7 linked regions of the Canis lupus familiaris genome follow. The protein of the gene in region 7 interacts with the protein of the main gene of each other region in a pairwise test. Links are inferred from orthologs where the notes say so. Each region holds a gene or a part of one and is shown on either strand. Other genes may lie near its edges.

What was found.
Region 1: the proteins of ADAMTSL4 (region 7) and PRKAB2 interact in binary tests that used the Homo sapiens proteins (3 or more experiments, as listed by UniProt). The link is inferred for Canis lupus familiaris from reciprocal best matches to the Homo sapiens genes ADAMTSL4 and PRKAB2.
Region 2: the proteins of ADAMTSL4 (region 7) and AMMECR1 interact in binary tests that used the Homo sapiens proteins (3 or more experiments, as listed by UniProt). The two-hybrid records come from large-scale screens. The link is inferred for Canis lupus familiaris from reciprocal best matches to the Homo sapiens genes ADAMTSL4 and AMMECR1.
Region 3: the proteins of ADAMTSL4 (region 7) and AQP1 interact in a two-hybrid assay, tested with the Homo sapiens proteins (2 studies listed by BioGRID and IntAct). The link is inferred for Canis lupus familiaris from reciprocal best matches to the Homo sapiens genes ADAMTSL4 and AQP1.
Region 4: the proteins of ADAMTSL4 (region 7) and OTX1 interact in binary tests that used the Homo sapiens proteins (3 or more experiments, as listed by UniProt). The two-hybrid records come from large-scale screens. The link is inferred for Canis lupus familiaris from reciprocal best matches to the Homo sapiens genes ADAMTSL4 and OTX1.
Region 5: the proteins of ADAMTSL4 (region 7) and APOL6 interact in binary tests that used the Homo sapiens proteins (3 or more experiments, as listed by UniProt). The two-hybrid records come from large-scale screens. The link is inferred for Canis lupus familiaris from reciprocal best matches to the Homo sapiens genes ADAMTSL4 and APOL6.
Region 6: the proteins of ADAMTSL4 (region 7) and SHFL interact in binary tests that used the Homo sapiens proteins (3 or more experiments, as listed by UniProt). The two-hybrid records come from large-scale screens. The link is inferred for Canis lupus familiaris from reciprocal best matches to the Homo sapiens genes ADAMTSL4 and SHFL.

What each region holds. Positions count from the first base shown.
Region 1 is NC_049238.1:58,294,633-58,298,698, reverse strand, and holds the start of PRKAB2 (5'-AMP-activated protein kinase subunit beta-2), read left to right. Parts: upstream 1-1,266; 5' UTR 1,267-1,433; intron 1,434-1,438; exon of another isoform or gene 1,439-1,522; intron 1,523-1,714; 5' UTR 1,715-1,739; coding exon 1,740-1,895; intron 1,896-4,066. UniProt on the Homo sapiens protein: Non-catalytic subunit of AMP-activated protein kinase (AMPK), an energy sensor protein kinase that plays a key role in regulating cellular energy metabolism.
Region 2 is NC_049260.1:84,074,199-84,077,698, forward strand, and holds part of AMMECR1 (AMME syndrome candidate gene 1 protein), read right to left. Parts: intron 946-3,500; coding exon 831-945; intron 1-830.
Region 3 is NC_049235.1:43,684,966-43,689,107, forward strand, and holds the start of AQP1 (aquaporin-1), read left to right. Parts: upstream 1-1,342; 5' UTR 1,343-1,373; coding exon 1,374-1,763; intron 1,764-3,136; exon of another isoform or gene 3,137-3,555; intron 3,556-3,649; exon of another isoform or gene 3,650-4,142. UniProt on the Homo sapiens protein: Forms a water channel that facilitates the transport of water across cell membranes, playing a crucial role in water homeostasis in various tissues.
Region 4 is NC_049231.1:64,119,541-64,123,810, reverse strand, and holds the start of OTX1 (homeobox protein OTX1), read right to left. Parts: upstream 2,801-4,270; 5' UTR 2,689-2,800; intron 2,323-2,688; 5' UTR 2,254-2,322; intron 1,043-2,253; exon of another isoform or gene 641-1,042; 5' UTR 531-640; coding exon 434-530; intron 1-433. UniProt on the Homo sapiens protein: Probably plays a role in the development of the brain and the sense organs. Can bind to the BCD target sequence (BTS): 5'-TCTAATCCC-3'.
Region 5 is NC_049231.1:29,543,420-29,547,633, forward strand, and holds the start of APOL6 (apolipoprotein L6), read right to left. Parts: upstream 2,801-4,214; 5' UTR 2,608-2,800; intron 1-2,607. UniProt on the Homo sapiens protein: May affect the movement of lipids in the cytoplasm or allow the binding of lipids to organelles.
Region 6 is NC_049241.1:51,360,908-51,364,935, reverse strand, and holds the start of SHFL (shiftless antiviral inhibitor of ribosomal frameshifting protein), read left to right. Parts: upstream 1-1,228; 5' UTR 1,229-1,358; coding exon 1,359-1,379; intron 1,380-1,821; coding exon 1,822-1,945; intron 1,946-2,131; coding exon 2,132-2,181; intron 2,182-3,799; coding exon 3,800-3,838; intron 3,839-4,005; coding exon 4,006-4,028.
Region 7 is NC_049238.1:60,400,499-60,403,998, forward strand, and holds part of ADAMTSL4 (ADAMTS-like protein 4), read left to right. Parts: intron 1-51; coding exon 52-224; intron 225-379; coding exon 380-491; intron 492-597; coding exon 598-783; intron 784-1,189; coding exon 1,190-1,319; intron 1,320-1,675; coding exon 1,676-1,880; intron 1,881-2,216; coding exon 2,217-2,393; intron 2,394-2,678; coding exon 2,679-2,885; intron 2,886-2,970; coding exon 2,971-3,150; intron 3,151-3,431; coding exon 3,432-3,500. UniProt on the Homo sapiens protein: Positive regulation of apoptosis. May facilitate FBN1 microfibril biogenesis.

The sequences.
Region 1 (4,066 bases), about 2.1 Mb from region 7:
AAATCTTAAAAAAAAAAAAAAAAGAACCAGAGAATCTCTGAGTTTACTAGGGCAGAGGAAAGACAAAAGGCAGAGAAGCGAATTTGTCAAACCTAAGTGTATGGTTTTTTTTTTTTATGAAAAATAAGCTTTTCAACAAAATAAAGCTGTTCATTCAAAAAGGGTGGCCTTGTACGACGTGGCATTCCCCCATCGCTGTTTGTTTAAGTGGTATTATCTTGTTAGAAATGTAGTAAACGGTATTATACCCTTCACTGTGCAAATATTTATTAAAAGCTTACTCCGGACAAGATGCATGCAGAACAGGAAGAGGAATCAAAACTAGACTTGCTCTCTGCCAGCCTTCAAAGCAGTGCTTGACACTTTAATATGTATACACATTCCCCTGAGGATCTTGTTAAAATGCAGATTCTGATCCTGTAGGATAGAGCCTCAGATTCTACACTTCTAGCCAGCTCCCAGGTGATGGCAAAGCTGCTGGTCTGTGTCACACACATTGAGTGATAACGGTTTCCGCTAGGGAATCGGAAAAGCACATAATTATAACACAAAGAATGAATTAGTAAATACCATACACGTTCCATTAATCATCAGCAAAAACCTAGATCCGTTCCAACCCGAGGACAATCTCTGTCCTTTTCTGCTCTCACTGTTCCTTCTCTTCTTGTTGGTCTTCCTCAAATGGCATTTCTTTTGGGGTTGCTCGTTGCATTCGCGGTTTCTTAGCTCAGAATAGCTTTCTCCTCCTCTTCAGACCAGTTTCACGCATCTGTCAAGGTTTCTCGCCTAATTACTCCTTCCTCACTGGGGCCCCAGTCGAGGCTGCTCCCCACCGCAGCCAGCTGGAAGGTACCTCAAGCAGTCGCCACTACTTCCTTCTGATTCCAGGAGGAAATTCTGTTTCTAAATCCCTGGAGGAACCCACCTGTCCGGGTTGCCCAGAGAACGTTCTGTTTAACCTGAAGCCCGGTGAGGCGGGCGGCAAGGAGGCAGCGCCGCTTCTCCGGGTACGGAGCGCCTGAGGCCGGGAGGCGGCCCTGCGGTCCCTGGAGCCCGTCTGCTCCGGAAGGCCGGCCCGCGGCTGACCGCGCCAGGGTTTCTGGGTCGGGTGGGCGGAGCCCGCGCCCCGCCCCGCCCCGCCCAGCCCGAGGCCAACGCGGAGCGGGCGCCCCCGCCTGGCGCGAGAGGCTGCCCACCACCGAGGCGGCGGCGGCGGCGGCTAGAGAGGCCGCGAGCTCGGGAGCCGTCGCCGCGCGGCCGTAGGGAACGCGCGCGGGGCGGGCCTGGCGCCCCTGGCCTCGTAGCCATTTTAGGAGGAAACCCGGATCTCCAGCCCGGGGCGCGGCTTCAATTTCAATAACTTTATTGGTGGACGTAACCGCAGAACAGCCATCTCGCGAGTGGCTAGGGGAGGAGGAAGAGCATCGCGGGAGGTGACTGGGGTGGGGGCTCCCCCGGGCAGTGAACGCGGGGATGCGGGGAGTTCCCCGAAGCGGGTTTCCCCAGCGGCGGGCGTCGAGAGGCGGGTGGCGGGTGGCGGGTGGGGGGTGGGGGGCCGCGGGCGCTGCCGGAGGCCGAGGAAGGAGGGGACCCCGGGCACGGCTTCCCTGGGGCGGGGATTCCCTGGCCCGGGTCCCCAGGCGCAGGGGCGGAGCGGGGGGCGTCCCTGACGCGGCCGCCGGGTGTTAAAGCCCCGCGTGGTTCGCCCCGGCAGGTGGCCCCCGACTCGAGCTACAGCCATGGGAAACACCACCAGCGACCGGGTGGCTGGCGAGCGCCACGGCGCCAAGGCTTCTCGCGCCGAGGGCGCCGGCGGCCACGCGCCGGGCAAGGAGCACAAGATCATGGTGGGGAGTACGGACGACCCCAGCGTCTTCAGCCTGCCGGACCCCAAGGTGAGTCTCCCCGCGCGCGCCCCGGCGGCCCAGCCCCCCTCCCCTTCCGGGCTCCTCCTCATCCCACCGACCTACGTTACGGTTTTCTGAATTAAAGGGATGGGGCTGGGGAGGGGGGGGGGGGGGGGGGGACGGAGATGTTGGAGGGTAACTGACGCCTGCGGCGCTGCCTCGAAATACTATAGAGGCGGGGTTTCTGTCGTTCGCCTGACCTGCTGGCCATATTTTTACGATGGGGACTGTAGAGTCGTCCCCCCCCCCCCCCCACAACGCCACACACACACACACACCCATCCCCGGTTTTCCGAACAGGCAGGAGCCCTCTTGGAGAGTAGTGATGAGTTTATGGGTTGTAAACCCTATAGACCCTGGTAGAAAACTTCAAAGACGGTAGGTTGCCTGAGTGGCTGATCATCTGAGACAGTTTCTCAGGTTTACCCTGAGGTAGGCAAACGAATTTCTTTTTTTCTGATAACCTGTAGGTATCAGTATCATTTTTGCTCCTCTAAGAACCCAGCACTTCGGATCCTCTTCCCCTTTGGCAGGATTGTGAGCAGCAGCCACTTGCCTATTTGATACTTTCTCCTCGTCTTGGAGATCAGTACAGGACTTCCTTTGGCTGACTGCTCAGTTGTTCATCTCATCCTTTATATTGCGGTTGGCTGAGGTGCTTCCTTCTTCACACCCAGCTACTGGTCAACTGGGAGAGCAAACGATCCAGGATTTCTCCTCTTCCAGTAGGAATTCGTGATGTTACCATCGCTGAAAACGGACAACCCGCAGCTGCCGGGCAGGCAGACCTTGCTCTCAAATCCAAGGACTTCCAGAAAAGCGGCAACTTGTGCCCACCCGTAGATTAGATGGAGTTGACTGCAATGGGATTACCATCCGAATATTTCTAGTCCCATTTAGAGCTGTCAGCATGAAATAACAATAATCCCTCCAGGCAGTCCGAGTGGGAGGAAGTAGAAAAAATGGAGGGATTGAGGAGATTCAGGTGTGTTTGATGTTTTTTTTTTTTTTATCACTTCAAACCTTTCACCAAATTGGGGTTTTAGGGAGTAAAGAAATGATTTGCCCCATTGGTAGCACATGAAATTTGGATTCTGTTTATTTTCTTGAATCCCAGTTGAAAACATAACTACAGAAAAAGAAGTGAAGGTGGTTAAAAGCACCATCTTGGGGTTTCGTCTCCATTCCTTTCTTCCTTCTCCCACTTTAGAACTTCTTTCTCAGCATTTGGGCCATCTAGCCAGTCATTTTGAATTTCCTTAGAAGCTTTCTCAAGGTGATCCACCTCCTAATTTTACCCTTTTCCTATGTCAATGACTCAGGATTTAAGTACAGTGTATTTGTCAAACTCTGACTGCAATAATTGGTGTGCTGAATAAAAGCCAGGTTGCTCCATCTGAAATGGAGCCTATTTTGGTTCCTTCCTTCCCTAACCCCAGTCTTGCCATTTGTGAGTAAGAAAATTGGTTCAGATAATTCCTAAGGTCTCTTATACATGTAAAATTTTATAGTTCTCAATCTAGTCTCTTTACTTCTTCCTTCATTGTTTTACTTAAATATTTTCAAACTGTAGTTCTCATTGTTTTGCCTCTTTTCATAATGATTTTGCTGACAATTTAACTTGGAGTAAATGGTCTTTCTGCTAGTCAGCTGCACTCAGGCCTGCCACGGAAATGTCATGTCATATGTGGAAGGGCTTTCTTCCAAAGCCGGGCATGTTAATAGTTTGTAGCTTTCAAATTCGAAATTGAAAATACTAAATCATCAAAGTGACTCATAGAAACAGTGGCAGTGGGGTCAACATTGCTTCAAATGCCAGTCCTCTTCAGTGGACTAGGTCAGTGGTTCTCAACCCTGTTTGCACATTAGAATCACCTAAAATTTGTTTAAACACTGTATGGAAAATTAGAGACATTTTCCATGTTTCAAAGTAGTTAGAGTAGTATAGTAAACTCCTATATACCCATCACCCAGTTTAAACAATGATTAAATTTGAACAAATTTATGTCATGCCTATGCCAGTCCACTTCCCCCTACCAAATATTTTGAAACAAATTCCAGACATCCTATCAAATATTATTTTATCTGTAAATATTTTAGGATGTATCTGTAAAGTTGAGGTTTTTTCCTTTGTTTAACATAATCACAGTAATAATATT
Region 2 (3,500 bases), on a different chromosome or scaffold from region 7:
GACTGAAGGATGGTTCATGGTGGAGAGCAAATCTTAGGACTTTTGTATATGTGGCACAGTGCCTCAAATACAGTAGGCATTCAGTGACATATGCACTATTATGTGTGAAATTTCATAAACACACGCTCAGCTATCTCCTCACAATGACCAAAACAAAATCATGGTGAGAACCTTTGAACTTCCTTAAAAACCCAACCCCACATACTAATGAATAAAAAATATGACAAATCTAGGCTACTTCAATCATGACAATGTTCAGAGATCATCATGATATAACCTTAATATTATTTGTTAGCATGGTTAAGTACACAAAATAAGGTAGCCAAGAATGAGTGAACAAGATTTAACTGCAGTTAACAAACACTCTGATCTGTATCCACAGTCTGATTTCCCCTACTGGTGTATTATCCTAACTTTTTGGCTCCTTGCTTCTGAGATGTGTCCTCACAACACCCAATTGCTGGGTGGCAGTTACACTGAAGTACATCAGAATGGAAATAGAAGGAATAAATTCCGATCAGTCCTTCTTACTACTTATTAACAGCTTTTATGAGGGGCTGTGCTAAAGTAATAGGATAAAAATAAACAGCAAATTCAGTTTAAGGACAAAAATGACACATGGCACTTTGCCTTAAAAACAAAAACAAAAACAGAAAAAACCTCCTTCACTGTTATCTCATTGATCAGCTGTGAGGTTTATTTCTCCACCTTACTCTCCTCACCTGCACTACAATAGAGAATGGGCTGAAAGAGTTGCTTCCTGGATCTAATTTTTAACATTTACGCAGGAGTTACCTTCATTTCTCTTTCAAAAATGTCTATACTCTTACCTCCCAGTCCAAATAATCACAGACATCTTCAAAGTTAGTGAGAAGAGACACTGAGCAGAACAGCCGTGGCAGCTCATCCCTTGTCATTGGGGGGAAACGGCTATCTTTAAGGGCACTGTGGAAAACAAAGCAAATATTAAAGCAACTACTTGGTATGAAAAAGTCCCCCTTTCAAATGCAGACAATCATTTGAAAAAGGTAGGAGATTTTTAAAAAATCAGTAAGGTGACAAAGGCGTTAATAATCTGCAAATGTATTCAAGGGCCCCAGAGATTTTAGAAGTCAATTTATTTCATTCAATAGACTGTTTATTAGCCAATCCTGTGATCAAATGTAAAGCACGAATGATCAATTACACTTCCTGTACAGTCATTTCCTGGTCTACTTCCCTGTTACTTGGAGAATCTGAGAATACTTTACTTTTGAGAAGAATAAAACCTAGGCTAGTGGACATTTATGCAAAGACTTCTAGACCTAGGGCCGATGGAAAAAAATGTATATAGTTTTAAAAAAAAGTTCATACCAGGTTGGCCTTTTACCATAGAACAGCACTCAGAGTTCAAAAAAGACCAAAATTTCATTTTCTTCAAGCAAAAGAAATCAAAGAAAATTTAAATAATCATGCAAATTACAGACTAAAAATACAAATATTTCAGGCCCCCCATAAAGGATAATTCAATATATGACTCAAAAATTGTGAAAGTACAGGAAATTGGGCTAATCTAGAAATAAAAGTATGATTAGGAGACCATTAATCACATCAATGGATTTCTGAGTACAACTCTGATTGGATCCTGTAATCAAGGGAAATATACTACAGTGCCAAATTCTAGAAAAACCCCTACTATAAAGGACAAAGATGTTGGAAGACCATAATTCTTCCTGCAATGGAAGAACAGACAGAAAATACATAGACACACACACTCACACAGGCACAGTACATTTCTTGTACTTTTAAAAGAAAACACTTCCTGGTCAAGAAAAACAAACATACCTCTGATTACACTTTATACTAATGGCACTACTGGCATTTGCACCATCAATCTTCAAATTCAAATGTCCTATACAGCAGCCAGGCTTAGAAAATGTTTTCACAGATTAATCCTTAGAAGTTACAAACTTTAGAGCCTACAAACTGCCTGGGTTATAACAAAGTTCCATGGCCTTTAGAAATCATTCAATTCCTTTTTCAGTGACTCCCTCATTGCTGATTTTCTTTTTTCTTTTTTTCATTTTTCCATCCCTTCCTTTGCATTCTAAAACTCACCTATTGTATTGTACAAATAGAACACCTATGTGAGTACTTTCAATGCATTTTGGTGCTCATTCTATTCTACTCTGCAAAGGAAAATGCTTATAGAAAGATATGTTCTATATATAAAGTATAAATTTTTTCCCATACCAGGAGCCAAGATTAACCAAGAAAATCAGGACATCTGTGACAATTCATACTCTGAGAACAGCATTTGCCCATTTTATGATTTAACAATATAAATTTTACTACAGTTTGGCCTCTTTTATTTTCCTATTGGCAAATAAAGTTTTAAAAAGCATTTTCAAATTCTCATTCAAAGCCAAGATAAAGACATATATGTGTGTGTATAACCAACACTCCCTTTCCTAACAAACACACATATTGAATAGAAATTCTAAAACAGAAGAATCCCATCCACAAAAACCAAAAGGCCAATCACACTTTCAGTCTTCTTGCTAAAAAGAAAAAAAGAGAGAGGGGGTAAAAGCCTTATATACATTGGAATAACATAAAATATAATTTTTTTGGATTATAGATTTTTATTGTGGTAAAATAACTATTTTTAAGGGTACAGTTCTGTGTAATTAAGTTCATTGATGGCTCACCACCATCCATCTCCAGAACTCTTAGCATATTGCACAACTGAAACATAGTATCCATCCAATACTAACGCCGGCTCCTCCTTCCTTCCAGCCTCTGGCAAAAATGTAATTTGCACACACTTTTCCATTTTCAAGTAATTAGGATAATATAGTCACTAATGTTTTTGATATATAATAGCTTATGGAGATGTAGTTGACACACCAATAAAATTCACCCATTAACATATACAATTTAATGTTTTTTAGCATATTCACAGAGTTACACAACCATCACCATCATTCTAATTTTAAAACATTTTGTCACACCAAAAAGAAGCCCCATACCCATTAACAGCCAGTCTCCATTTTTCCCTCCTTCCAGCTCCTCACAAGCATTACTCTCGGTCTATGGATTTGCCTATTCTGGATATTTCATAGCAGTGTAGTCCTACAAATATGGCTACACTGACTTTGAGCATAATGTTTTGGAGGTTTCATCCATGCTGTAGCATGTATCAATACTTCATCTTTTCAACTGCCTAATATTTCAATGGTGTGGCTCTATCACATTTTGTGATCTGTTGATCTGTTGAGAAACATTTGAGTTGTTTCCACTTTGGGACTACTATAAATAATGCAGCTATATTCATGCATGTATGAGTTTCTGTGTGGACATATGTATTCATTTCTCTTGGGTAGATACCTAAAAGCTGAATTGCTGGGTCATTTGGTAATTCTATGTTTAACTTTTTAAGGAACTGATAAACTATTTCCCACAGTGGCTGTACCATTCTACGTTGCCACCAGCAATGTGTGAGCGAGTTCCAATTTCTC
Region 3 (4,142 bases), on a different chromosome or scaffold from region 7:
CGGGAGGTGGGAGGAGAGGCCCAGAGAGGGCCGCTCCCTCCCGGGCCTGGCCTCGCCCCCTCCCGGCCCCGCCTGGCTGCTCTTGCCCTCGCTGCACACCGACTGGGCAGGCGGCCGGCAGGAGCCCCCTGCCTGGGGGAGTCCGGGCGCCTGCACAGCTTACCGGCTGCTGTCGGGCCTCTGGCTGGCGGCGTGCAGGGCAGGGGCTGGGGGCAGGGGTCTGCGGGCCGGCCTCTTCCCCACCCACCCCACCTTTCCCCTCTTGCTTCGTGCCTCTGCTGGTTCCAGTGGCGTCTCCTCTGTCAGGTTTGTCTCTTCCCCGTCTCTGCTCCCTGGCTGTCTCTCCTCCTCAGCCTGGCCTGAGATCTCGCTCGTCTCACTTGCCCTTTGACTCTGTCTCTCTGCCTCTCCCTTTGTCTTGTGTCCTCTCTCCTTCTCTCGTCTCTGCCTCCGTCTCCAGGCTACCTGGCCATTCCTTCCCTCGCCCCCTGGGGTCTGCCAGCATGCAGCCCTGGAGAGGAAAATCCTGAACTGCCTCTGTTTTCTCCACCTGCCCTGCTATCGTTGGTTCTAATTGCTTCTGGAGCAATGAGGGCTCCCAGAGTGGCTACTTGCCTATCTCGGGCCTGCCCTTGACCACAGAGTGCGGGGTGGGCCACCGACAAGCTCTCCGTGCCTCCTAATGCCTCTGTGTCCCCATCAACTGGGCCTGGCCAGTGGTGCTGGGCCCCTGGGGCATCCCTAAGGTGACATCTTGTAGCCAGGCCTGGGCCAGGGTGTGGGAGACCCAGAATGCCCCTGGGGACCCCTGGACCCGTGCTGTCCAGAATAACGCCACTCCGGGATGGGATGGGATGCCGGGCGAGCAGGATCATGGTGCCCCACTTCTCGGGAAGGCAAAGTCCACCTGCGGAGTCCAACCCACCCACCCTGCACCATCCAGAGCTTCTGGCTCTGCCCATGGACACCCCTGAGCTCCGCACATAGGGCGGGGACACCTGGATTTCTCTGGCCCCCTGAGTGGGGCCAACTTGGAGGAATTTCCCAAAGCCTATTAGAGCAGTGGCTGCCTCCCGCCTGCCTCCTCGGGCTGGGCAGGGCTGAGGGCGGAGGGAGAGAGGGAGGGAGGGGGGAGAGGAGGGAGGGAAAAAAGTTGGCAGGCCGACAGCAGAGCTGTGTCTGCATCCATCGCTGAGAGGAGGCCCGTGAAGTGCGGGGCGGGCCAGGAGCAAGGAGAGGCCTTCCTCCCTTTGTGCTCCCCCCCCTCCTCTCCTCCCCCCGGGCCCTATAAATAGGCCCAGCCCGGGCTGTGGCTCAGCTCTCGGAGGGAGTCGAGCACCAGGCAGCGGTCTCAAGCCAAGCCCCCTGCCAGCATGGCCAGCGAGTTCAAGAAGAAGCTCTTCTGGAGGGCGGTGGTGGCCGAGTTCCTGGCCATGATCCTCTTCGTCTTCATCAGCATCGGTTCTGCCCTGGGCTTCAACTACCCGGTGAGGAACAACCAGACAGCAGGTGCGGCCCAGGATAACGTGAAGGTGTCACTGGCCTTCGGGCTGAGCATTGCCACCCTGGCCCAGAGCGTGGGCCACATTAGTGGCGCCCACCTCAACCCAGCTGTCACGCTGGGGCTGCTGCTCAGTTGCCAGATCAGCATCCTCAGGGCTGTCATGTACATCATCGCCCAGTGCGTGGGGGCCATCGTGGCCACCGCCATCCTCTCGGGCATCACCTCCTCCCTTCCGGACAACTCCCTCGGCCGAAACGAGGTACGTGGGGTGGCCCCAGGTGCTGGGCTCTGGAGCAGAGCACACGCGGCATAGGTCTCATCCTCACCCATTGTGCAGATGGGGACACCGAGGAGCAGAGAGGGCACGAGCTGGCTGGAGGTCATGAGGACTTGGGGCTGGAACTCAGCTACACCTGCAGCCCAGAGCCCGTTTCCTACCAGGCACCGTGGGAAGCCGAGACCCAGAGAATAATAGTCTGGCCAGTGTCCCCTGCAGGCGTCTATCGTGGGGAATCAGCTCTGGAGGCAGCTACCAATTGTGGGGACAGCAGCTCCTCACCCCTCGGCTGTAGCTTCTAGGTCTCCACTCTGCCCGGCCGGGGCAGCCAGCTCCCTCTTCCTACAGCCTGGACCCTGGGGACACGCTGCCCGCTGTCCCCAGCCCCCCGAAGCTGGGTGCCTGGCACATTGGCGCGGGTCAGCAGCTGCATGAGCAGGACCCATGGGTGGCCACACGGACCCTCAGCCCGCCCCATATTCACACAGGTCCCCAAACAAACTGCCTTCAGGGAAAAAGCCCCTCCTGCTCCTTGGTCCCCGAGAGTTAGATGAAGCTGCGGGGCAGCGGGGGTGCGGTGGGGGCAGGTGAAAACATTCTGGCTGGTTTGCAGGTGGTTTTCCTGGATTACAGTAGGGGTGGTGGCCAGGGTGGGGACATCTCGCCTCCCGTCTGGGCTCCACTCTCTGTCGCCGGGCACCGTGAGGTGTGGCACGTGTGTTTGTGTGTGTGAACGGTGTGTGCACGTGGATGCTGGCATGGGTCTCCGGGCTTGTGTAAGCTGTGCGCTCCCGTGGGTCTGCGAGTGTTAGTGCAGCCGTGTGAGTGGGCGGCGGGGGCGGGGGGCGGTGAGTGTGTACCTGTGCATGCCCATTGCCCCTGGCCCCAATGGGGTCTGGGCCGGGGGCACTAATGGTGAGCAGATGTTGGTGAGTGGGTGGCAGGCTGCTGCAAAGAATTCCTCCCGGGCCGCTTAGCACAGCTAATTGGCCGTTGGCGGCAGTTGCCTGCTGTCGCAGACCTGGGCTTTTCCAGACCCTCGGCCAAGTGCAAACTCAGACCCAGCCCGGGGCCACCGCGGCGGGGGGAGGCTTGGCCTGAGAGAGGCTGAGGAAGGCTCGGAGGGTGCCTTCCCGGGACAGGGGAGTGGCGCACGAGCACACGGGAGGAACCAGATCTGCAGAATCGGGGCTCGGGGCCTGGGCAGGGCAGGCGGGGGCAGGGACCGGGAGGGAGCCAGCCCAGGGCCCCAGAGACCGCGGCCCGGGATTACAGCGATTGTTGTCCCGCTTCCCAGCCAAAGTTCAGATCCTGGCGCTGCAGCTGCGGGGAGGCTTGGTAAGGCCTGGTGCAGAGGGCAGCTGGCGAGGCCTTGGCTCGGGCTGGGGGGGATTAGCACTTCTTGTGTCACAGTGACACCTTACCCGGCCCCCTCGCGGAGCCAACCGCTGCTCGGCCCAAGATTGAAGATTAGCCCGCGGGCTGGAGTTTAGACTTTAGTCGAAGAACGTGGTGGCCGAGGTGGGTGGAAGGGACGAGAGCTCCGGCAGGCTCTCCAGAGGGCAGGGCCAGGTGACTCCGGGGAGTGACCCCCGGGTGGGGTCAGGTTCAGCCGTGGCCGGCTCGGTGGGCAGGGCGGGCGGTGGCGAAAAGGTGCCCGTTGGGGAGGGGTTGAATGTCCGCAGGCCCCTGCCCTGTCTTGACCCTCCTTCTCCAGGGACAGGCAGGACAGGCATCTGTGGGCAGACGTCGCGTTCTGACTCGGGCATCACGGGTAGGTGCCGGGAGGGTGGCCGCCTACCGTGGCATCTTCGTCTGGCCGCAGCCTGCTCCAGTGTCCCTTCCCTGCCCCGGCCTCCGTTTTGCAGAGTCGCCCAGATGCCTGGCTGGGCCGTTGGCAGCTGGGGGAGATAAAGGGACAGGCTCCTGCCGGGGACAAGCACGCCGGGCTCACGTCCTGTCTGCTGCTAACCTGTTGCGTTTTCCTGGAGCTGAGGATCCTGAGACTCCAAGAAGGAACCTAGGTCTTTATAGATATTTCCTGGCCCCTCCTAAACCACCAGCAAGCTCACTCTGGGGACTTGTGTTTATCACCCTTCCCAGGAGGGTCTGGCTAAGAGGAGCCCACGGGGGGCCTCGCTGACCATAAGATTCCTGAGTGTTGTGGTGGGGTGCAGGCACTGTCCTGTCTACACCAGGGAGGTTTGGGGTTCCAAAGTCTGGGCCTAGAAACAGAAAGCATCTCTCCCAGGGCTCCTGTCAGACGCTGGACCTGCGATGTGAAGGCATCTGAAGTTCCTGGCAGGTGGCCCTGATGCCTCAAGAGAGGCAGAGACCGGTCTCTGCAGCAAGTGACACACT
Region 4 (4,270 bases), on a different chromosome or scaffold from region 7:
GATGTAGAGGACAATTCAATTAGGGAGGGAGAGCCCCTCTTCTTCGTCTCAGCCAGTCACTTCTCATAAGAAAAGCCTGGCCCTTCCTGTCAGGGCCTAGAGAGTGTCCAAATCTCTCTTTCAACATTGGGAGGAAAGGAATAGATTCACACACACACACACACCCCAAAAAAGCCACCCATGAGAAACGAATCCTTGGGTAAGTGGGCCCTGTGCTGGTGGTGGGACCACAAGAGACAGATTGCCCAGCTTCACTGGCCTGGCCTGCCTCATGCACCCGCCACTGCCCTGTGAGCCTGCGGCGTGCAGAGCACTGCAGGCAGACCCGCCATCCCACTCCCCGGGCCTGCTCAGACACCGAGTGTGCGCTCAAACTCAAGAGTCTGGGCGTCCCCAAGATTTGCAGGGGCTGGGGGCAGGGACTGGTGCTCACCCGGGTAGCCCACGGAAGGGTGCAGGAGGTCCATGGCTGGCCCGGCCAGGCCCAGCCCGTTCATGCCATATGGGGGTTGTTTGAGGTAAGACATCATGCTAACAGCCGGGTGGAGGCGCCCGGACGGATCCAGGGGGCCGGGGCCAGGCGCAGTGCGGGGCTCCCACTGCGCAGTCCTTCAAACTCTGCTGCGTCGGGGGGCCCGGCCTATGGAGACAGGAGACACAGGTAAACAGTGACTGGGAGCCATCTCGGTTTCCTGGTCTCGTCGGAGGCGAGCAGCCGGGGGCTGGGGAGGGCACGCAGGCCTGCGGAACTCGGAAGGGCGGTCAGCTTGGCTCTACAAGGCCTTGGCCGGAAGACCACAGCTTCTTTGAAAAGTCAGCTTTTCTGGATCGTCATCGCCTCTTCTCAGGCGTGGAATGGGTAAAAGACCCTCGTAGGGCGTCGCTAGGAGTGCGGAGAGGCTAAAAGCAGGGCCAAGCTGGAAAGTGAGGGCCTAAAACGCCCGGCGTGCAAGGTCCCAAGTCTAGGCCAAATTCTGGTCGGGTAGGAGCCGGCCTCCATACTGCAAGAGCAAACGTTTACTCGGCGCCAGTGAGGCAGGCTGCCCAGGGCACCAGAGGTTGTTTCGTTTCGTTTCAAAATGTTTTTGAAAAGCGGGATGAAAAGGTGGAGGGTCGGGGAGAGCTAAGGTGAGGCGCCGCGGGAGGCTAGCGGCACCTGGGCCTCTCCGGGTGGCAGGGCCCACTTAGGGTGCGCTCCTGCAAGGGTGTCCCCGCTGGGTCTGGGCCCCCGAGCCCACGGCCACCCTGCCAGTTGACCTCCCTGCGCCCGGCCGCGGAGAGGCCGCTCCCCGGGGAGCCCAGCACACCTGGGCCACAGTAACAGGCCCGGGCCCACGGCGGCCAGGAGACGCGGACGCGGGGGCCGCGGGGGCTCCAGGGCGCGGCGGGGGGTCAGGGGCGCCCAGGCCCCGCCGCAGGCCCCCTCCCCGACAACGCCCGCCGCCGCTGCTTTCTGCCCGCTGCTGGCTGCTGGCTGCTGGCTGCGGACAGCGCGGCCCGGGCGGAGGCCGGAGGGCGGCCCGCCCGGCGCCCCGAGGGGTCGCGGATCGGGGAGGCCCGGGCGCCGCGCCCCCGCGTGCTCCCGGCCTATCCCGCCCGCCCGGCCCGCGGCCCAGGACCCTGCCCAGGGCCGACGCGACTAGGCCTCGGCGGCGCAGCTCGGCTGACCCGGGCCGCCAGGTCGAAGCCCGGCTCCCCGCTCGCCTCCCCCCGCGGCGCCGTTCGCAGGGGCAGGGAGTGGAGCTGGGGGGCGCGGCCGCGGCCCCGGGGGACCCTGCGCTGCACCCCGCGTCGCGGGGGATTCAAAGCAGGCCCGGGGCCGGGCTGGGGAGTTCGGGGAGGGCGGGGAGAGCCGGGGCGGCCTCCCGCGCCCCTCCTCCAGGCCCCACGGTCTGGGCTGGCGGACCCCAGCTGGCAGGGAAAGGGGGGCGAAGGAGGGGCAGCCCGGGGCTCCGGGGCCCAGAGAGAGGGGGGCACGCCGGGCCGCCGCGCCTCTGCCGAGCTGCAGCGTGAGTTTCCAGAGACTTTCTTCAAACTTAGCACTTGAGCTCGCTGACTTCGGAGGAGGCGGGGGAGGGGCCGCGGGGCCGCGGCGGGGATCGGGGGTCCTCCGCGCGCCGGGAGGGGAGCCAGGCCGCCCCCCAGCCCCGCCCACCTGCCGGGGACCTGGGAAGCGGGGACCGGCTCGGGGGCCGGGGTGGGAGCAGGCGGCGCGCTCCCGGAGCCAGGGCGGCCCCGCGGCTGTCTGCTTACCTGCCCTCGGCTGCCGGGGCCGCTCACCATCTACCTCGCGCCCTCGCGCAGGCCCGCGGGGCAGCCGACCTGCAAAGACAGAGGGCGCGGGGGTTACTCGCCGGGCCGGACGGCGGGTCCCGGCTCCCCGGGGTTCTTGCTTTCCCCAACTTCCCTCCTGCCTTCTCTTTCTTCCCGGTGGCTTTGTGCGGGTCCCTCCAGGTTTCACTTTATTGCACAGACACTTTGTTTGCAAAGCCCTACGCGTCCCCGAGACACCACGTCGCCCGGGACCGCGCCGAGGGGCCGCAAGGGGTAGGCGGGTGGGGGGTGAGAGGGGCAGCGTTGGGGGGCGGCTCGAGGCTGCAGTTGCAGTCCGGGTGCAGCGCGGAGGCGGCGGGGGCCAGGGGAGTCCCGCCGAGGCACTTTGCGAACTAAATAAATCAAGCGATTTACCTTGTCGGAGTGGCTTGTCTTGCCGGGTTGTTTAGGTGATTGGAAATGTAGCCTGATGAAGATTGATCACCTTTCTACTGCCCTCCCCGGGTATGTGAACGCGAGGTGAGTGCGTAACGGGGCCGTGCTGCCAATCCCCGGCCCCGCGCGGGCTGAGTGACAGCGAGCCGGGCAATGGCAGCCCGAGCCGGGGGTTACCTCCGCGCGCCCCCGCCCTCCTCCGCCCCCTGCACCCCGCCCTCGGCGCCCGCCCGCCCCGCCCCGGGCGCGCGCTAACTCCAGGGCTGGGCTGACAAACGCGGCGCAGAGCGAGGCGAGGACAGCGGCCGCAGCGCCAGGGCCCGTCGGCGGAGGGGGGACGCGGGGCCCGAGGCCGGCCCGGGGGGGGGGGTCCCCGCCCTTCGCTCGCCCTGTCGGCGCCCGCGAGGGAGTGGCGGAGAGGAGACGCGGGGCCGGGGAACCGGTTCCCGGGCTCTCCCGCGCGCCACCCGGCTCGGCGGCGGGGCTGTGCGCTCGAGGAGTCCGGGGCCGCGGGCTGCAGGGCAGTGGGGGCCCCCCCGGCTCCCCCCGGGCGGCGCCCCGGGCCCCAGCGGCCGCCTTCCCCGCGCCGCCACCTGCGGACGGACGCGGCGGGCGCGGGGGCCGGGGGCGGCGGGGGGCGCGGACCCCGCCTGGCCCGCTCGGCCCCCGCGGGGGAGGCCCCGCCGCTCCCCCGCTGCTGCGCGTCCCCCGGGGCCCGCGCGCCCGTCCTCGGCGCGTCTCCCCGGGCGTTGGAGCCCCGCGGCTCCTGCCCCCTTAAGGCGCCCGCTCTCCTCCTGCCCCGGGAGGTCTTAACGGGAAACTTTCCCTTCCGCACCCCGCCTCCTTCGCGGGCGCCCTGCACCGGGGGCGGGGGCGGGGGCGGGGGCGGCAGACGCGGCCACAGACCCCCGGCCTCCGTCTCCTCCTCCCGCGCCGCAGAGGGAGCCTCCTCGGGGCCGTCTCCCCGGATTGTTCGTACTGGCGAAGCCCATTTCCCAGCCGAACTAACTTCTGGAGCCCGCGTACCTGCTGGACGTCTCCAGGCGCCCCCCGCCCCCACCCCCCCAAAAGGGTTTCGCCCCAACCTTGAGCCAGGCGGTTCCTCTTAGGTGGCACCTCCTTCTGAGTATTAGGCACCACTTGGGTCCCTTTCGAGGAATTCCTCCCCGGCTTCCCTAGTCCCCCCTCCCCTCCATCCCAACAGGCGGAGTGAAAAGTTTGAGCAGGAGTGAGCGCGAGGGCGAGTCCGGGAGCCGCGGGGCGCCGCGCCGTGGGAGCGCCCGCCGCCGGGCCGCGAGGTCGGGCCCCCGAGCGGACGGGGCTGGGGCGAGGAGGAGGAGGAGGAGAGGAAGGGGGCGCCCCGCAGTCAAAAGGGGCCGAGGCCGCCGCTCATCAAAGTACTTCCCCCTCCCCCCAAGCGACACTTTCCTTTGGAGCCCGAATAAAATACGGTAACAGAATATGATGGAGGGCACACTGTTTCCTTAACTGCTTCTCAAAGGACCCGGGAGATCTTCTTAGGACCTTTAATAAGGCTTTGGTCGGTTCTTTTGTTGATCTC
Region 5 (4,214 bases), on a different chromosome or scaffold from region 7:
AGTGGTGGCCCTGATTTAACTTATATGTTAGAATGATCACTCTGGCTGGAAAAGAGATTCTGGATTTGCAAGAGATGAAGCAAAGAGACCAGTTAGAAGTGATCGTGGTGGTTAGAGCAAGAGAGGATGGCTGCTTGTACTAGGTTGGTGGAAGTGGTAAGAGACATTGTATTTACAGGAAATCACAGGGTGAGAGAATACATTTCTGTTGTTTCCATCCCCCCAGTCGGTGGTGCTTTTGTTTCGGTCCCTAGGAAAGAACACACTCTCTCTCATTTCTTTTTCTATATTTGGTGCTTGGCCCCAGAGTTTTGGTCAGAAATGCTATGGTCGTGATAGGCCTTCTCTCTCCTGGTCATCTTCCTCTCCCTCTCTATTTCTGAAAGAACTTAGGAGAAAAGTCCTCCCATACATATTTTGAAGGCACAAAAATCCTTGCAATGTTTTTTTCTTCTTCTAATGATTTAAATAAATACAGGTTTACTGTAGAAAGTTTGGAAATAAAGAATACAATTATTCTGTATTCTCATCACACAAAATAACCACTGGGGACATTTTATTTACAAGCAAAACAAAGTTTAGACTCATCATTCATTCAGTTTTGTGCGAATTTTTGTCACTTAACATTACATCAACGTTATGGTGCCCGGTATTATTAAATAGTTTCAAACAAGCTATTTAAAGGCTGTGCAACATTCCATTAGATAGATGTATTATTATGTATTTAATAACTCCCCTACCATTGAATCTTTGGGTTGTCTTCAGTTTGAGCTTTTTTTTTTTTTTTTTTTTTTTAAAGATCTTATTTATTTATTCATAGAGACAGAGAGGCAGAGACACAGGAGGAAGGAGAAGCAGGCTCCGTGGAGGGAGCCTGACATGGGACTCGATCCAGGGTCTCCAGGATCACACCCTGGGCTGCAGGCGAGGCTAAACCCCTGCGCCACTGGGGCTGCCCTGAGCTTTGTTTTTGTTTGTTTTTACAGTCTTTGCTTTATAAATACTTTTGGATCGTTACATAAAAGTTGGTCTACACATTTGGTTATTTCTTTGGGATTGTCTTTGAGGTAGAGTTACTGCATCAAAGATAAAAAATGTGTTCTAACTGGCTTATCAAGCTAAGTTTCAGGGATTTGTCTCCAGAGTGCACGTGACCTATAATAGGAGGCACATTTTTGTGCTTAATTGTGTCAGACGTGCATCTACCTATTTTATACACCTTTAATCCTCTCAATGGCTCTCTGACATAGATGCTAATATTATCCCCATTTCCCAGATGAGGAAACTGAGGCACAGGGCACCAGTGCCATGCAACTGGTAGATACGAGAGCACAGTGTGATTCCAGCTAGGTCTGCAATACAAGCCTAGAGCAGCAGACCTTAATCGCGGGTGAGTTTTCTCCCCCGAGGGTGTTGGTAATATCTGGAGTCATTTTCAATTGCCATACAACTCTGGGAGAAGCAGGAAGTGCAGCTATTGGCCTTGAGTTGGTAGAGGCCAGTGCTGTTTCTAAACGCCCTGTAATGCACAGGACAGCCTCACAACAAGGGACGACACAGCCCAAAATGTCAGTGGGGTTAAGGTTGAAAAACCTCAGTCTTGGGGTGCGGGGGTGGTTTATTCCGTTGGGCATCTGATTCTTGATTTCAGCTCAGGTCCTGGGATTGAGCCCCAGGTCAGGCTCCAGGCTTAGCAGGGAATCTGCTTGAGATTCTCCCTCTCATTCTGCCCCCACCCCTGCTCGCTCTCTCTCTCTCAAAATAAATAAATAAATCTTCAAAAAGAAAAGAAAAGAAAAACCCCCATTCTTTGCCGGCGCCCTGTGATACCTTGCCATTTCCCATGAATCCTATGGGATGAGAAGCGAAGGTGACCCAGGGAGCCCTTTGGTCCAGCCCAGGTCCCATCCCCCCCCACCTTCTCTTTTTCCACTTGTGAGCTTGTATTTATGGCAGTTGTTCTTTGCCTGCCTGGGGAGCCTTCAGCCTCATTCTGCTGTCCAGAGGCCCCTGTCCTGCAAACCAGCTCCCTCATAAAGGCAGCTTGCTCAGAGAACACGGCTTTGAGATACTCCCCGAAATCTTTACCACTGTCTCCCCCCACTTCCCAAAACCTCCCCCCAGTAAACCTACAATCCTGGGAACATGAGATGGTTTTGCAGTTCAGAGACAAGCTGCTGAGCATTTTTGTTCTGTGAGGATGACATCCCCTCAAGGGAAAAGCCTGTCACCAGTGAGGCCTCCTATGTTCCAGGGGCTGGGCCCTCTCGTCTAGGGCTTGGGGGGGGGGGTGTTCCCCAGCCAGTGGAGGGGAGACGTACCTTGGTTTGTCCTCGCACCTTCTTAATCCTGTTTCCATTTAAACTTCAAACAGCCCAGGAGAGAGTCCTCCCCTGATATACCATCAAAGAGGTTGAGGTTTAGACCTTTCCTGAGGTCAGATCCTTGGCAGGAGGGGTTTGAACTCCGGGGACCCTGGTGACAGCTCTTTGTCCCAAACCAAGTGCCTTAGCCCAGTCGTCAGGGCAGGAAGCAGCCTCCCTCCCCTGCCTGCTTTCACTGTGGCCTCGGTGCCTGGGGAGAGGAGGCCCCCCCCCCAGTCCTCACCTCTCGGGGGGTCCTCTCGCCCGGTGGCGGGGGCCTGTGGGAGGCCAGGCAGCAAGGGTGGAGTCTCCGGCCGGAGCTGCGGTCCCGGGGAAAGCCTGAGACCCCCGTGGCCTACTCCCAGGGGCCGACAGGCTGGAGCCGAGCTCAGAACAGCAACTACTGAAGCAACGCTTCTGGGAAAGGCGGGGCTTGAAAAATGGGTTTCGCTTTTCCTTTCCTTTTCCCTTTCTCTACTAGCTGTGTGGTGACAGGTTAGCAGCACCGCAGGCAGGGGCCCGGGCCCCCTCACCCTGTCCTCGCTGTGCGCCTAGGAAGGCAAGGACTCAGGCCAGCGGACCCCGGGGAGGGGGCGGTCGCGGGGTTGGTCGGCCCCTGGCCTCCACTCTCCACCTGGGAAATGGGTATAAAAATAGCTCCTGTGGCACAGAGCCATGGTGAGGAGTGAGGCCCCTGGGGCCCAGGTGGACCCCGCAAGCGCTTCGACGGTGGTCACCATGGGTGGGCTGCCCTCATGTGGCTTCCTCGCCCCTCTGAGCTGGGTGCCGGGCAAGGTCTGCCGCCTCCCGTGTGTAACTGGGGAGTGCAGAATTCTCTGAAGACCCGGTGTGTTTCCGTAAATCATTTGGTGGTGGAACCTGACCCCGCCTCTGCAGGGACCTGGTTTTTATGTATCCCACTTCATTTGCATATTCATTGTTTCCCTGCAGAAGTATTAGGGTGTGACTAAACCTTTCCTGGGACGCCTGGGTGACTCAGTGGTTGAACCGCTGCCTTCAGCTCAGGGCGTGACCCCGGGGTCCTGAGATCGAGTCCTGCCCCCATCGGGCTCCCTGCATGGAGCCTGCTTCTCCCTCTGCCTGTGTCTCTGCCTCTCTGTGTGTCTCTCATGAACAAATAAATAAAATCTTTAAAAAATAAATAAATAAAAGAAAAAGAAAGACCTTTCCTCTCCCCACATCCAAACCATTGGAAACTCTGGAACATATCTGGCCCCGATGGTTTGAGATACAAGATTGTGGTTGCGGGTCTCCCGATCTGCAGATGAGGAAACTGAGACCTCGGGCTGGCGGGGGGAGGGGGCAGGGGCTTGCCCGTGGTCGCACAGCTAGGACAGGGCGAGGGACCCAGTTCTGGGCTCCGTGTCTGTGGGAATGGCCTGCCTCACAGTCGTGGGCTGAGATCTGTGTCCCTGTGCGAGGGCCGCGTGCTCTGTTCCTGTGGATCAGGCCGGGAGCCCCAGGTCCTCTCCTCTGCCCTCCTGGAGGCCACACTGGGGGCTGCCGCTGGCACACGGAGTGGCCCAACCAGCCAGCCTTGGCTCTGCGGGCGTCCCCCGGGCCCTCTAGCAGGGAGGAGGGATGGGAGGCTGATGAGTTGCTGAGCTGCGACTCGGCGGGGCCTCTGGGTCCCTGGTGTCCTGGCCTCCTGCGCTCAGGGGCCCTCGGAGGCCATCCTTGCTGGAGGGCTGGTCAGCCCAGCTGCCATCCAGCCCCTCTGCTGCTTCTCCTCTCCCCCCCCAACCCCCCCCCAACATAGACCCAGATGCCCAGGCCTCTCCAGGGTCCTGGGAGCCTCAGGGGCCAGGCTGGCCGAACGACTGAGTGGTG
Region 6 (4,028 bases), on a different chromosome or scaffold from region 7:
GAAAGAAAGAAAGAAAGAAAGAATCTAGCAGATCTGGTTCATGTCGGAGCTGGATCAGTTTCCCACCTGTTTCCTCCCTGCTTGTCACCCACCCTGGCTGCGACCTCCTTCTCCTCACTGGTAAGTGGAGATTATGTACTATATATCACAGATACGTGTATAACAAGAGAGCCCCTCCACACCTCCCCACCTCCCTCAGTATAAAATCCCAGGTCCTCTATGCAGCTACAGGCCTGGCTCTCAGCCTGAAATTCCACATTCAGTCACAAAGAACCATGAACTGTTTACACTCATTAATAGGCTCCAGACGGGGCACACAGACCCACAAACAAAGCTTTGGAGGTCAAGTAGAAAACATTAGAACATCTATACTTTTTCATCTCCGTTTCTTTTGGTGTGTGTGTGTGCGTGTGTGTTAAAGAATAGCTTTATGTAATAGGGGCCTCTGGCTGGTTCAGTGGGTGGAGCATGTGACTCTTGATCTCAGGGTCACGAGTTCAAGCCCCACCTTGGGTGTGGAGCCTATTTCAGGGGAAAAAAAAAATTGTGCTGGCCCAGAGGATTCTCAACCTTCCGATTTACAGTGCAGATTCCCAGGCACCCCTGGACTACAGGCTGTTGCTGGACTGCTAGGCACCAGTGACCTCTATTTATCCAACAAGCATCTCCTCCTTCGCCCAACTACCTCCAGCTGTGGCACACAGTAGGCGGCTTAGTGACTCGTTAGGCTACCCCATGCCAGGTGCTACTAAGCGCTCCACCCCGGGTCTCGAATCCTGGCAATCACACCCAGCCACGATGTAGCCGCTGTTATCATCCCCATTTTACAGAGGAGTAAACTGAGGTGCAGACAGGTCCGGACGTAGCCGCGGAAGAGCCTCAGAGCGAGGAGGGGCCCCAGGTCCCGAGGGAGGGGAGCTGCGAGAGCGATGAAGTGGGGAAGCGCGAGCTGGGGGGGGCCCGGAGATTCGCGGCGGCCTTGCGATGCGGCCCCGCCCCCACGAGGGACGTGAAGACGCGGACCCCGCGCAGCGTGGGGACATGTGACCGACTGCAGAGGCCGCGCCGCCTCCACCGCCCGAGGCCCGCGCGCTCCGCCGCAGGGTGCAGACCCCCGGCGCCCGCGGGGCCTGGGGCGCGAGGGCAGAGGCGGAGCCGGGGCGGAGCCAGAGCGCCCCGTCCACGCCGTCACCCCCAGCAATCGAAAGCGAAAGAGGGGGCCGAGAAGGAAGGGCGGAGCCGCCCGGAGGCCCCGCCCCCTGCCCTGCGCGGCTGCTGGACCCGGGCGCGCCCAGGTAGGGGGGCTCCGAGCGCGCAGTGCGGCCCCTCGCGGAACCCGCGCCGCCGCCGCCGCCACCATGTCTCAAGAAGGTGTGGAGGTAGGAGATGCCTGCGCCTGGGCCGGGGGCCCCCGAGAGGCGCCGGGGGCGCCGAGGGGGCTTCGCAGTTCTGGGGACTCCATCCGAAGCCCAGACCTTACCCCTGGCGGGCACTCGCCCCCCCTCGGAAAGGATAATGACCGCCCCGGCCCCCCAGAGTGAGATGCGGCCTCCTCGAGGAAAAGGGGGGCTGCAGGGTCAAGGGTCAGAGGCCAGGTTACCTGGCCGGCCTCCTCCCCTAGCCGGGGGCGCTCGCCCCACTCCGCTCCCTCCCCCAATGCCCGGTGGGGACTTTGGCTTCTCCCAGGAAATGCCGTAGAGGGATGGTGGGGGAGGCCAAAAGCAAGGGTCAAGTTCGGGCGGGGAGAAGGATGCCTAGAGATGGAGGAGGGCAAGTCGCCCCTCTCCTTCCCCGATCGGAACCCCCCTGTGCCCACCCCAGCTGGAGAAAAGCGTCCGGCGCCTCCGGGAGAAGTTTCATGGGAAGGTATCCTCCAAGAAGGCGGGGACTCTGATGAGGAAATTTGGCAGCGACCACACCGGAGTGGGGCGCTCCATCGTGTACGGTGAGCCGGCTGGGGTCCCGGCCCTGGTAGGGGAGAGGAGGGGGGAGCGCGCGAGGGAGGTGTGGTCTGTGTGAAGAAGCGCCGCGCTCATCTTCTGGGGAGGGTCTATATTGGGGTTCTGGGGACCCTGAAACTCCCAGAAGATCCTTCAAGGACCTTTTACTTACACTTAACTCTTGCCACCAGGGGTAAAGCAGAAAGATGGACAGGAACTGAGTAATGACCTGGATGCCCAGGTAAACTGCCCCTCTTGCCCTCCAAGGATGGGGTAGCTGGGGACCGGGAACGGAAGGAACCTGGTGTATCCATGATGAGCCCCATCTGTGCACCACCAGTTCCTAGTTCATGATCCACATTGACTTAGTCACCTTTTAGTCATGCGTCTGACCCGGGAGCCTGCAAACTGTCGGCACTCATTACATGTTGGTGGTATTAAGTGGGGGAGAGAATCGTGAAATTGGGCGGTGAAATGAATCAGGACTGATGTCATTACAGAGGACCCCTGGAGGTCAGTCGGGAAAGGCTTCCTGGAAGAGGTGGTGCCAGCTTTGATGCTGGGGAGAAGGGATCCTGGGTGGTGGGGGAGTTGGAAACAGTCTTCCTGGAAGAGGGAACAGAGTGAGCAAAAGAACACGCAAGACAGGCTAAGATAAACATGAGATGGGGGAGGAGAGAGGGCAGGGGAGCCCATATGATGAATGAATGGCTTTGAGGCACAAATGCAACATGGCTACTTTACACCTTAAATGACTTTGGTGGCCAGTGCACTGTGCATTTCATCTTCCTATAAGGCCCCCCCCATAGTTGCTGAAGAGTATAATAAGGTACATATTGAGTTATTTATATTTACATGTGTAAAGGGTATGATAAAGGTAATAGGAGGGGCGCCTAGCTGGCTCAGTCTGGGGAGCATGCTACTCTTGATCTCAGGGTCGTGAGTTCAAGCCCCACATCAGGTGTGGAGCCTACTGAAAATAATTCTTTAAAAAATTATAGGAGGGACGCCTGGGTGGCTCAGCGGTTGAGCACCTGCCCCTGGCTCAGGGCGTGATCCTTGGTCTCAGGATCGAATCCTACATCGGGCTCCCTGCCTGGAGCCTGCTTCTCCCTCTGCCTACGTCTCTGCCTTTCTCTCTCTGTGTCTTTCATGAATAAATAAATAAAATCCTTTAAAAAATAATAATAAACAAATTAAAAATAAAAGTAAAAAATTATAGGAAAGTGAGCACTCCCCAGCAGCAGGCTTTCCGCGTGTTGCCTCCAATTCCAACCTGAAGGCACTCGCCAAGCAGGCCAAGCAGGTGGCATTTAAGCCGTTTCCACCTAGAACCATAGCTGCGCTCTGAGATGCCCCTCATTAGGGATGCAGGGGGAGTGATTTGGCTCCGCCCTCGCAGCGGGAAGTGCTGGAGTCGGATGGGAACCTGTGTCTGTCTGAATCCAGAGCCCAAGCCCTTAGCCTAAAGCGGCATGGACTCAAAGAGGTGACCCCTCACAGTGCCACCAAGTGTGTGGCATTTACCAGCAGGGAGGGAGCGCGGGGATCCAGGCCTCTTCTGCCATTCTCATTCAGGGTGATCTCCGGCCACCCCTCTCCCAGCTCTGCCTCAGTTTCTTTGTCTGAGCGGTGGGGATAATAGGTGTGCCCTCCACTGTGAGGACAACTGAGGTCGTGTACCTGGCCATCTACAGGCAGGCCCTGCTCAGACAGCCCTTCCTGAGTTAGGGACTCCCTACTCATATGGGGCCAGGACCCTGCCTCCCTCCTCGTCCAGGAGCCTCACCCCCAACAAATAATGGTAAAAAGAGGTCTGAGCTGCACCCGCAGTTCCTGCCCCTGATGTTTCCACCCAGGACCCACCGGAGGACATGAAGCAGGACCAGGACATCCAGGTGAGTCCGGGGTATGGGATGGGGGGAGGTGGAGTGAGGAGGACATCCTTGGGGAGAGTGGATGGTGTCCATGGACGAGGAGAGACATTATAGCAGCAGGAGAGGAGACTTACGCGTGTTCATATTAGCGGAGGAGGCGTGACCACCCTCTTGTCCCTATCCCGAAGGCCGTGGCGACGTCCCTCCTGCC
Region 7 (3,500 bases):
GGTGCCCGGGGCTCGGCGTGGCTGACCTCTGTCCTGATCTCTGATCGGCAGCCCTTCGAGGCCCTGGGGGCCAGTCCATCATCAACGGAAACTGGGCTGTGGATCCCCCTGGGTCCTACACGGCCAGTGGGACTGTCTTCCTGTACAACCGTCCTTCTCGAGAGGAGGGCAAGGGGGAGAGTCTGTCAGCCCAAGGCCCCACGACCCAGCCTGTGGATGTCTACGTGAGCTTGGGGCCTGGGGAAGCTGGACAGCTGGCAGGGAGGGAGGGAGGGCCTTCCCTCTGGGGCACAGCTGTGGGTCACGAGATGGGGGAGAAGGCTAGCGGTGTGCCCTGGCCGCCCCCACCCCGGACAACTCCTCCCAACTCTCTCTCCAGGTGATCTTTCAGGAGGAAAACCCAGGCATTTTTTACCAGTACATCGTCTCTTTGCCTCCTGCAAACCCTGAGAGCACCACCCCAGAGCCCCCCAGCCCCCAGCTGCAGCCAGGTGAGGCTCTGCTCCCCTCACCTAGGGGGCGGGGAGGGACTGGAAGGGGAGCTGTGAGGCAGTGGGCTGTATCTGATCTGCCTGCGTGACTGACCACCCTACACAGAGATCCTGAGGGTGGAGCCCCCACCCATGTCAGTGCCCCGGCCGGCCCGGACCCCAGGCACCCTCCAGCGCCAGGTGCGGATCCCCCAGGTGCGCCCTCCTCCGCTGCCCAGGACACCCCTGGGGTCTCAGACTGGGTACTGGAAGCGAATGGGACACTCAGAGTGCTCGGCCTCTTGTGGAAAAGGTGAGACTTGGGATCCCTGGGTGGCGCAGCGGTTTGGCGCCTGCCTTTGGCCCAGGGCGCGATCCTGGAGACCCGGGATCGAATCCCACGTCGGGCTCCCGGTGCATGGAGTCTGCTTCTCCCTCTGCCTATGTCTCTGCCTCTCTCTCTCTCTCTGTGTGACTATCATAAATAAATGAAAAAAAAATTAAAAAAAAAAAAAAAAGAAAAGGTGAAACTTGATGCACTAGGCCTGTATTCCTGGCACCTTTAGACTAAGACCCTGACAGGGCACTCCTGACCCCACACCCTGGATTGAGGATCCATACCTTGACTCTGTGTGAAGATGAATTCCAGTGTCTGGAGCTGCACGGACGCTGGGCTCTGGGCCATCCTGCCTCCCCTGGCTTCCCTGTCATCTCTTCAGGTGTTTGGCGCCCCATTTTCCTCTGCATTTCTCGTGAGTCAGGGGAGGAACTGGACGAACACAGCTGTGCCATGGGTGCCAGGCCCCCGACCCCCCTGGAGCCCTGCCATGGTCCCCCATGCCCGCCCTAGTGAGTATGACCCACAGGGAGGGCTGGGGTCCTAGGAGCACAACAGTTGTCCCCGGCAGACGCATTCACACCGCCTTAGCGTATTGCCCTGGACTCTGCACCCAACACACTAGGCCTCCTGGCTGCAGAGACCCAGTGTTTGATTGGAAAGGCTCACGCTCCCTGGACAGGAGGAGAACCCTGGCAGCCCGAGCCCCACAAGGGAAATTGGGCTCCAAGTGATGAAGACACCCGCCCTGCCCTGCAGGGTTTCCCTCCCCCAGGACTGTCATCCCTTGCCCCACCCATGGCAGCCCTGCACACCTGTGTTTTCTTTATCCATGTCTCTGCTTCTTTCTTGCCCTGTTACCCCACAGCTGGGAGGCTGGTGAGTGGACGTCCTGTAGCCGCTCCTGTGGCCCCGGCACCCAGCATCGCCAGCTGCGCTGCCGGCAAGAATTTGGTGGGGGTGGCTCCTCTGTGCCTCTAGAGCGCTGTGCACATCTCCCTCGGCCCAATGTCACCCAGACCTGTCAACTGCGCCTCTGTGGCCACTGGGAAGTTCGCTCCCCCTGGAGCCAGGTGAGTGGGGCCCGGCAAGGGAGCTGCCAGGGTGGGAAGGACCCTAGGTGGACGGGTGCCAGTGAGCTAGAGCAGTGGTTTTCCTGATCCTTTTTAACTGGCAGAAGCTTTTTAATGACAAGACCTGAGCGTGTGAAACCCCAGCATATAAGTCAGATGAGACCCTGAACCGGGGATTGGGGGCCCAGAGCCACCTGTCGAGTCTGCCCCTCAGCCCATACAGCCCTATAGGTGCTGAGTTAGGGAAGAAGGCAGGTCCTGGTTGCAAGGCCCTGGAGCCCGAGGCTGGAGGCCCAGAGGCCCGGAGGCTGGGCTCTCACGAGCTCTCCTCCCCAGTGCTCAGTGCGGTGCGGGCGGGGCCAGAGGAGCCGGCAAGTTCGCTGCGTGGGAAACAACGGCCATGAAGTGAGCGAGACGGAGTGTGCGTCAGGCCCTCCGCGGCCCCCCAGCAGAGAGGCCTGTGACATGGGGCCCTGTACCACAGCTTGGTTCCACAGCGACTGGAGCTCCAAGGTGGGCCCCACAGCCCTTACCCGAGTCATGCATCCCTGGTGCCCACACCCAGGACCTTTCCAACACATTTTGGTCCACATTTACTGAACAAGCCCTGGTATGTGCTAGATGTTGCTGATGCTGGGATTCCGAGTTAAGTGAGAAGAACTCACGTTAGGGTCCCGGACTCCCATTACAGGTTCTTCTTACCTGGGTGGTACCCGGGGCACTCCCCAACTCAGGGGATCCAGGACGGGCCCCCCTCAACCCCTTTTCCTCCTCCCCTACCCATCACCTTCTCAACAGTGCTCAGCCAATTGTGGGACTGGAATCCAGCGACGGTCTGTGGTCTGCCTTGGGAGTGGGGAGACCCAGGGGCTGGGCCAGGAGGAAGCAGGGGCAGGGCCCAGCAAGCAGAGCTGTGCACCGGGAAGCCGTCCCCCAGACATGCGTGCCTGTAGCTTGGGACCCTGTGAGATGACGTGGTGCTGGTACACGGGGCCCTGGGCCGAGGTGAGCCAAGAGCTTGGAAGGGGGCTGGCAGGAGTGATCCCTGTTCTCCCTTCCCCTTGCACACCCTGCCCTTCCTCTGTATCAGTGCTCCTCAGAATGCGGTTCTGGCACGCAGCGTAGAGACATCATTTGTGTGTCCAAACTGGGAACTGAGTTCAACGTGACTTCCCCCAGCAACTGTTCCCACCTGCCCAGGCCCCCTGCCCTGCAGCCCTGTCAGGGGCAGGACTGCCAGGACCGATGGTTTTCTACTCCTTGGAGTCCGGTGAGTGCCTGACTCCCCTGTCTTGTTGAGCTTCTAAGGAAAGTTTGGAGGCTCCACTCCTGGTATCCCCATTGTGTCCCAGCATGAGGCCAGCTGCAGCTGGTTTATTATTGCCCCACTTCCTGTATACATGGAGGACAAGTGGGCCCTGTCAATGTGGGATTGCATAATGTTCCTGGTGAACCCCCCCCCCCAACTACTTTCAGAGAAGGAGGTGGCCTGAGGTTCAGGAGGAACCTGGGTCACAGCAGAGGTCTGATTTGATAGCGGGGTCTCCGCAGTGTTCTCGCTCCTGCCAGGGCGGTATTCAGACCAGGGAGGTCCAGTGCCTGACCGCCAACCAGACTGTC